2 linked regions of the Drosophila melanogaster genome follow. The protein of the gene in region 2 binds, or shares a complex with, the protein of the main gene of each other region. Each region holds a gene or a part of one and is shown on either strand. Other genes may lie near its edges.

What was found. The genes of interacting proteins can lie anywhere in the genome.
Region 1: Nup75 (region 2) and Nup93-1 share a complex: the UniProt entries of both Drosophila melanogaster proteins name them as parts of the nuclear pore complex.

Annotation. Positions count from the first base shown.
Region 1 is NC_004354.4:13,820,221-13,824,470, forward strand, and holds the start of Nup93-1 (nucleoporin 93kD-1), read left to right. Parts: upstream 1-2,605; 5' UTR 2,606-2,706; coding exon 2,707-2,867; intron 2,868-2,930; coding exon 2,931-3,111; intron 3,112-3,190; coding exon 3,191-3,994; intron 3,995-4,067; coding exon 4,068-4,250. Other genes in the region: Clic (chloride intracellular channel), read right to left, coding at 1,705-1,788. UniProt on the Drosophila melanogaster protein: Required for nuclear pore complex assembly, maintenance and function. Required for nuclear import of phosphorylated Mad via importin msk. Has no role in classical nuclear localization signal (cNLS)-dependent nuclear import via importin-beta.
Region 2 is NT_033778.4:18,165,334-18,170,233, reverse strand, and holds the start of Nup75 (nucleoporin 75kD), read left to right. Parts: upstream 1-3,093; 5' UTR 3,094-3,162; coding exon 3,163-3,189; intron 3,190-3,246; coding exon 3,247-4,409; intron 4,410-4,470; coding exon 4,471-4,816; intron 4,817-4,883; coding exon 4,884-4,900. Other genes in the region: Dgp-1, read left to right, coding at 1-1,209; CG42518 (uncharacterized protein), read right to left, coding at 1,942-2,026, 2,096-2,268; MED9 (mediator complex subunit 9), read right to left, coding at 2,297-2,461, 2,513-2,576, 2,712-2,917. UniProt on the Drosophila melanogaster protein: Component of the nuclear pore complex (NPC) that seems to be required for NPC assembly and maintenance. Required for nuclear import of phosphorylated Mad via importin msk.

The DNA.
Region 1 (4,250 bases), on a different chromosome or scaffold from region 2:
TTCAGCCATTACATATCGTATTGCTGTTTAATTTGGAAACAAAACTGGTTACGAAACCCTATTCGAAGTACACGATTGCTCATGTCAGTTGTTTAGCGTCGAGTGGGGTTTTTTTTTTCTTTTTCTTTCGGGAATCGAATGGTATAACACATGGTATATTGTACTGTTTGGGTTTAGGCAATGCAAAGGTGAGGGAAATTACTCATGGGCAGACGACTCGAGGTGCGGTCTCCATTTGCGTGGGCTGGATGAGTGGCCAAGTTGAGTCGAGTCGAGTTTGCCAATAGAATCAACAACAGCAGGGCTCCAAAGTGTTCCGAAAACAATTACAATTACTTCGGCAAACAGTGGGAACCAACAAAAGAAACAAAATTAAGTGGACTCATGCTCGACTTACAATTCCGGGGAAAGAAATAGATTGCGGCCTCTACTATAATACAAAAAAAAAAACCAAAGGGTTCGTAATCTTTCTTTGACTCATTTTGCAATAATATCACCTTTAAGAAAGATGCCAATGAACAATTGTTTTATCACATGTTTTTTTTTCCACTATCGAAGAACAGAACTGATAAGAAAAGCGTTGTATTCGAGGAGAAAAAATCGAACAAGTTTTTATTATCGATTATTTGTAATACATAAAGAAATAAAACACTACATATTGAGCAATCTAAAGTTAAGTTCTATGATTTAAATTCATTTAATTAATCACACTTTAGGAATCTTGGCTTCTCAATGCTATTATCTTGACCGCAAATGTGCGGAGTGCTAGCTTTTTGTTTTCTTCGATTCTTTGGAGGAGCATGACGTATGTGTCAAGAAATTTAGAAATCACTAAAAGATAAAAAAGAACCTCTAATTCACACACACACACACAGAGAGAAACATGCTGATGGTTGCGAAGGGGGGCGATGCGGGGGGCTTAGGAGAACTATGATGAAGGAGCATTTGTTGAGCAATTGGCGCAATGAAATGTGATTAAATTTTTTAGCAGATAAGAACCGAAGTAATATGTTACGTTCCACAAATTTCAGACTGTGCGCACACAGCAATATCATGATTAATTGTTAATTATAAAATATTAAAAAGATATTTCATATGAACAGCTTGGTATGCTCGGATAATTTGGAAAAAGGGCGGCTTTAGAGTATTGCACCAAAAAGGTATGCTGTAATATTTAATTTGGATGCTTTATAATGGTAATCATGGAGTTCTGAAAATCATAACTCAATCAACAATTTCGTTCTGTGCAGATGTGCCCGAATGCATGTGTATGCGATAGTGTGCGTGCGTGTGTGTGTATGTGTGTGTGTATGTGTGTGTGAATGTGCGATAGGGAGAAAAGGAGAAAACCGGTTTTGGCGATGCTTAGGAACCGCAAGGCGAAAGGGGAACGTCGGCGAGAGGGGAGGGGGCGGTGTGTGCTAAACGTATTCTGTTCGTTTTAACCAAATGTGACACACTGCAAAGTGCCACAGTGAGAAGAAGAAGAAGAAGACAACGAAGAACGAACAGGGGTAAGAAGCCGAAAAGAGGGAGGAGGAGGAGAAACAAACGGCAGTTCGCGTTTTCCCAGTCGCTTCTTGTTTTTGCCTTTGTTTGCATTTGCTTCTGCTTTTGCCCCGGCTGCATTTTCACTCTGCACGGAAATTTGCGCAGAGCGAAATGGAAAACTGCAGGGGTATGCAAATGTCGCTGTTCGCTCACCTTTATGATCAATTCTATCTCGGGCACATCGAATTTACTGCTGCCGTTCGTCTCCTGGCTCTGCTGCGATTCAACTTCCGACATTGCGATATTGTTATTATTTTTATCGTTTATTCTCGATATCTCTGATCAGATCGAAGAGTTTTTTTCTTTATCCGCGTGACGAGGTGCGTGCGTGTTCGTTTCCTTTTCGCTTTTGTTGTGCTAATTTCCTTTGCCAATACACACACTCACGTACACAAGCTGTAACACACACAGGCAGCACACTCACACACACACAGAGAGACGGAGGGAAGAAGAAGCTCGCCTCGCAGTGTTTAAAAAAAATATGCCGTTCTGTTCTACGATTTGCGCGCTGCTAAAGTCTATTCACGATTGAATTGGTTAGCCGCTGAATAAACCAATCTGCACTGCGCGAAATACACTAACGCCTGCTGTTCAGTGTTACCAGACGGTCCTGCCTTTCGGCCGGCCTATAAATACCAAGCTAATACCAAATGTTTTTAAAGTTGTACTTACAACTCCCTCTCAATAACAGTTGTTATTGGGACATTTCAATAACAGATTGCGTAATACCAAAAATACCTTATACCTACAAAACTCCCATTTGTTCTCAATTTATTCCCCAATATATCGATATTCCATAAAAATTTTGAAATTTCGCGTTCGGGGAAATCGACTATTTTCTTTGTTTTTATAACAACTTTTAGGTATTGAGAAATAATTTCTTAGTCTGCTATCTATATAAATTTTTCAATTTAATGATTTTAATTATCAAATATTCCTTTTAAATTATATACCATCTGTAGACATTATTATAGTTATTCTAACATATAACAGTTGTACTATTAAATATACCAAAAAGAATACCACCGATTGCAAACATTTTATGGCGCCGAAATAATCCGGACTGCGACCAGGTGGCAGCACTAGCAGCTTGGTGTGCGCTTCGTTGGAAATATCATTTTATTGGCACCGGCTTTTCCATCCCAATATCACGACATGGATCTGATGGAACTGCTGAAGCAGGCCCAGCGCCTGACGAACGAGACCAATACGGACACGGAGGTGCCGGGCGTGGAACGGACCATGTCCCAGGTTCTGCAGGCAACCAAGGAGTTTCACTCGCGTGTCACCCAAATGGGCACCAATGATCTGCAGGCGTGAGTAGTTCGCTATAGGCCAGGCGCCAAAAATTGTCATATTAACCGGTCATTCAAATGCAGCCACATACTGCTCGGCTCTAAGGGCGTGGACCTGCCCAAGCTTACACAGAAGCTGGAGTCGCTCAGCGCCCGCCAAACCTTCGAGCCGATTGATCCGGTGACGGAGACCAATGTGCAGGCCTATCTGAAGAACGAGCGGGAGAACGCCATACTCTCAGTTATCGATGAGACGAATCGCAGTGTGAGTGCGCCAAATGACATGCTTCAGGCAGACACCCAAAATTCTGAACTTTCTATCTCCATTAACCAATCCATTGCAGATATTTAAATCTGTGGAGCGACAGAAGTGGCGTTGCATCTACTCGGAGTGGGGCGAGGAGAAGGAAGCGCTGCTAAACGCTCTGGTCGGACCAAACCAACAGGACTTCCCCGACGTCCAGTTTCAGATAGTGCCCACGGCCATGGCTGATGAGCCCACTCCGTACTCCCAACTGAATGGCCATGAGCAGATGTACGCTGAACAGATCGCCATCCACAACCAGTCGATCATCCTGGGCAGACGCCCTAACTTGCTGTCGACCCTTGCCCACGTGGTCCAAGACTCCTTCAACGATGAGTCCGTAGCCGAGATGTGGAATGTATTGCAGTTTATGACCGCGTTGCCGCCAGTCTCGAGCACCATCGATCCAATCAAGAATCGTCAGACATCACCGCAATTCGTTGAGCAGGCCCGCACGTACTTGGAGCGCAGATATAGGACGTATATGAGAAAGTTTATCGTCGCGAATTTGGCCAAAGCGCGGCGGGGAGGAATCCCCAGCGTGTACCATATGGTCCGCTCCTATGTGGGCGTTACTCTCCAGGGGCAGCGAGCCCTCTACGGGCTGCATGACGTGAACAATGGCCAGCCATTGTGGCCACATGTTTACTATAGCTTGCGGAGTGGCGATATGGACGCGGCTGCGTTGTATCTCAAGGAATCGGGAACCTGCCCCGACCTGCTTACGCTATTGACGTTGCGAAAGAACGGCGATAGGGACAACTTGATGGTAAAGCTTGAGGGTCAGCTAAAGTTGGAGTACAACAGTAGACTGCGCGCCTGTACGGATCCCTACAAAAAGGCGGTGAGTGCTCATCTTTTGCTACAACTTGTTGCGTATATTCGTGCTAATCATATGTTTTTCTCTTTTCCATTAGGTATACGTCGTATTGTTGGCGTGTGATCCGCACTTCACTCACGTAGAACTAATGCGCAGCATCGACGACTTCCTGTGGATGCAACTGTCCATTCTGCGCAGGTCGGACCAAAGCGACAGCAACACGGAGCAGCTAACGTTCAGCGGCCTGCAATCGCTCATTTTAGAAAAGTACGGCGAGAAC
Region 2 (4,900 bases):
GGCATGACTAAGGAACATCTTGGTCTGGCCTTGGCTCTAGCCGTGCCCGTTTTCGTGGTGGTCACTAAGATTGACATGTGCCCGGCCAACGTGCTGCAGGAGAACATGAAGCTGCTCTTTAAGATGCTCAAATCCCAGGGCTGCCGCAAGGTGCCGGTTGTGGTGCGTTCGCACGACGACGTTGTCCTAAGCGCTACGAATTTCGTTAGCGAGCGTCTGTGCCCCATCTTCCAGGTGTCGAATGTGACCGGTGACAACCTGGAGCTGCTCAAAATGTTCCTCAACCTTCTCAGCACGCGAATGCCCGGCTCCGAGAGTCTGCCGGCCGAGTTTCAAATCGACGATGTGTACGCGGTGCCGGGTGTGGGAACTGTTGTGTCCGGTACATGCCTTCAGGGCACTATTCGGCTAAATGACTGCCTGATGCTTGGTCCAGACGCGGTGGGTTCATTTGTGCCCATCACCATCAAGAGCATCCATCGCAAGCGCATGAACGTGGCACGCGTGCGCTGTGGCCAAACAGCAAGCTTTGCGTTAAAGAAAATAAAGCGCGCCTATCTGCGCAAGGGCATGGTAATGGTGTCGCAGGATCTCAAACCGCAAGCCTGCTGGGAGTTCGAGGGAGAGATACTAGTGCTCCACCATCCGACGACGATATCGGCGCGCTACCAGGCCATGGTCCACTGCGGCAGCATCCGCCAGACGGCCTCAATCATACACATGTCGCGCGACTGCCTGCGAACAGGCGACAAGGCACATGTGAAATTCCGGTTCATCAAGCAGCCGGAGTACATACGCGCCGGTCAGCGCCTGGTCTTTCGCGAGGGACGCACCAAGGCTGTTGGCAATATACTGCGTCCGCTACCGAATGCTGCCGCTAGCCCATATCGCCCCAAGCCCGCCAAGATGCAGTCGCGCTCACATAACGGCGGCAGCAACGGCAGTAACAACCAGCACCGCCAGCAGGGCCAGGGCAGCTCCTCGGGCGCCGGATGCAGCAAGGACAACGCCGACGAGAAGCAGAACGGCGACAAGCGCGAGGGTGGCAGCCGGCGAGGTGGCAAGCGGAAAAGAAATAATCGCCCGACTCCGTCCGGCGGCGTTGGGGTGGATCCATCCAATGGCTCGGCCTCTTTGGGTCTGCCCCTCGGCGAGAATCCTTCGTCGTCGTCCTCGGTTGAAGTCACACCGGCCGCTCTCACCGAGTGAAGTGCGCCGCCTGCATGTTTTGGCTCTTTCTAGTTTTGTAAACTAAAGTATTTTTTTTTCAAATTCTTAAAGATAATTGGATGAATTTATTTTGCGACCTTCTAATCTAAAGTGGCATGTGCCCCAATAAACTATTTCGTGTCCCGTTCTTGTCCACTGTACATTGTGCTATATGCCAAACCAAATTCTATATTTTGTTTGTTCACTAGACTTAAGACAACCGACGTCACTGCAGCATGGATTTCATTTGTCTTTTCACTGAATAAACGCAGGTTGAACCAGATGCTACTTGTGTACATGATATTAAATTATCTCTCGATAAACTTAAATAGACACGACTTTATAAATTGGAATCTTAAATTAAAATCTTATAGTTTAAGATGAGTTTAATGTCTATGCAAACTGAAAATGAAAACAAATTTGCTGACGCAAATTACGTTGAAAGCGTTGTAAATGCAGACATTAGGTTATTATTTGATTTTTTTGTAAAACGATAGTTTCAGAATGACAATCTGAAGTTCTCTTTTGTTTTTAAGTGTTAAGATAAAATGGCAATGAATAAGGATTTCTTTGTTTCCTAATTACCTTAATAAAAGCAATTTCCTATTCTACAAAAATAAGGTTCATTCACCGAAGATAATGTTCTGGCTTCAATGTTTATTCATCTGTGTTTACTAAAATTTATCTTGCCGCGTATATACAATTGTAGTTAAACAAGTTAATTACTGAACCCTAGTTCTTTTTCTTGCTATTAAGCTCCTTCTTCACTCCCTCCAGCTCTTGGCGCACGTTGTTCTTAAACATGTTAACGAAGGATCTACAATTTGGAAAATGCATGTCAGATTGGCGGATTCAGCCAGATGATTCTGGCGATTCTTTCACTCACTTGAAACGCTCTGGCGTCATCTCGTGCAGTCCCTGCTCCCGGGCCAAGTCTTTTGTGCGGTACATCAGGGAAACGACCAACTGGGCAGCGCGTCTCATGGGATAGCTCTCCGCCATGCGCTGGATGAGCTGCTCGTTGTTGGCCAGGTAGCGCATTAGCAGTCGCAGCACCATCTTGCCCTTTTTTTTATTTTGCTGCCGCCTAGAACTCTGTGTCCTTGTATTTGCGAATTAGCTGCTGCTTAAGCTTCAGCTGATTTCGCAGTAGTTCCAGTCTCTGTTGCTGCTCCTCCTTATTGAAATCGATCCCGGGGAGCTGGCGGATTTGCTCGCGTGCCGATTCGAAGCGTTTTTGAAGTTCAAAGATCTACAAATCAAGTATATAGCGGTGGCAACTTATGACGAACCAAGGACTCACCTTGTGGTTGCAATCCTGGGACTCGCGCAGCTTAACGGCGTTCTCCAGAGGATCCTTTTCCACGCTGAAAGACACAAAGACGCCAGGTTATATAAGGTGCGGCATTAATTGCGCACTTGTTGCTAAAATCCGCCGATTTTCGGCATTGTCCGTGCAGGGGCAATGACACCCGGAATCCGCATCCGCGATGACCACTCACCAGCGCACAATGTCGTAGATTATCGGCAGAATCTCAATGTCCAACTGGTCAACCGTCAGATGGCACTGGCCGCCGATTCCGTTGGATGTTTGCGTCTCCTGCGATATGGTCGGCTCGAAGGGGGAGTTCGAAGTCTGAACCAGGCCGTCGGCGGTTAGGATGGGTTTTCTGTCCTCGATCTGATTGTTTGGCGACAAATCCATCATAAAAAACACGAATCGAATTTCCAGCGTCAGAATCAATAGGACCTTACCGACAACACGTAATAATACCAAAGTAATGCCCTCACATTCTCTTAATTCGATTAATATACTAAAGGGAAAAGTAGTAGATGCACAACCTGCTATCGAAGTACGATAGACCGATAGAGCCAGGCAAATGCCGCCTCTGCTTATCGATAACAAGCAACGAATCGTTTAGAATTTATAAAGAAGAAAAACATAAAGCCAACATGAGCGACAGCGGTGTTTTCGCCTTCGTAAGTAGCTGCACAAATAAAAAACTCAATAGATTAAACCTCGTTTAATCTATCTAGGAGCTTGGCGATGACCTAGCCACACGCTGTGGCAATACACTCACTGGCGTCTTTGTGCCGGGCTCACGAATCGCACTCAGCGCCTACCGGCATGTGACGCACAGTTCGCGGGATGAGCCCACAGAGAATGCTGGACAGGTTCCGGTGCTCATCTACATGGCGCAGGAGTCGACGCTGTTCGACGAACCCGTTCTCCGCAGCGTACTCGCCGAGGCGAATGCCACGTTCGCCACGCTGCAACAGTTGGGTTCGCGGGCCACACGTGCCGAGTATGTGAATATATCCCGGGCATACAGGAGCATTGTGCGCTCATGCCTGGAGAAGCTGGAGCAGGCAAAAAAATCGCCGGAGGTTCAGACAGATGAGGCGCGCCTGCAACGCTTATGTGATGCCATCGTTGTGTTCTATGCGGCAGAATGCCTGTGGCATCTCTTCGAGATTCTGTACATTCAGAGCAATCAGCTGGTGGTGCCGCAGCTGCTCGACTGGGCGCGTTTCCACTCGCCGCACGCAGAGGACAGAGCCACGGATCTACTGCTCATGGGAGAGGAGGCCAGCGAATCTGATGACTATTGGAGCATTGTCAAATCACTCATTATGCTGGGCGAAATAGATGTTACGAGAGCAGTTCTCTCGCAGAATCGCAAAGCTGGACAAACGAGCTTCAAGGCGGCCGAACAGATCCTGAAGTCCATGCCAGTGTATCAAGAGGGCTATGCCCTGCAGAAGTTTCACTCGCAGTGGGAGTTCTGGCACGTGGATACGGAACGCAAGATTCAGTCCGGCTTATTTGCCACGGAGCCGGAGCTGGAGCAGTTGATTCGTCTGGTCGCCGGCGACAGCGAGCAGTGGGATGCTGGCATCAAAGAGTCCCAGGATTTCTATGAATACCTGCCAGGATACCTGCTCTTTACCAAGCCCACCTGCAAACCCTTTGAGCTGAAAATAGCGGCAGCCAAATGGCTAAACCGATGGTGTCTTCTCCGGCCGGAAAGAGAGCAGTGCAGCATGAACCGCATGGTTTCTCAGCTTATGGATCACGATCTTAGACTATTTATATACGATGCTCAAAAACTTAACGACACACACTGGTTCTCAACGCATTTGATTGATCTTATCCATCATTGTGGTCAGCTGAAGAGCTATTTCGATCAGAACAACATGTGAGTTTTTTTGTCAGAAGTTATGTTCAATCAATATGCTATATATTTTATGCACCCACAGCGATCTTCCGGCCCTGCGTCACTCAATGATCTATGAGTACGGCAGCTATCTGATGACGTCCCACAATATGTGGCAACTGGGCATCGACTATCTGGACTGTTGCAAGCAGGAGGGTCAGGCGGCTATCGAGCTGCTTTTGCCCCGAATCACTTTGCGCAGCGAGCGGCAAGCCACCAAGCTTATTAACCTGGCCAGGCAGCGCGGGCTCATAAGCGTAGAACGGGAGATCTGCAAGGTGCTTTCAAAGCGATCCTACGATAACGAGCGTTATGGAAACGCCCTGGAATGGGCCATTCGCTCCAAGGATGTGCTGCTGGTTACGGCGGTAGCTGACTTTATTTTAAAGGTAAATATAAACTATTTTTGCATAAGTATTTCATTCAATTTGATTTGTATATTGATCTGTGGCATAGCATTACTCGAAAACTGG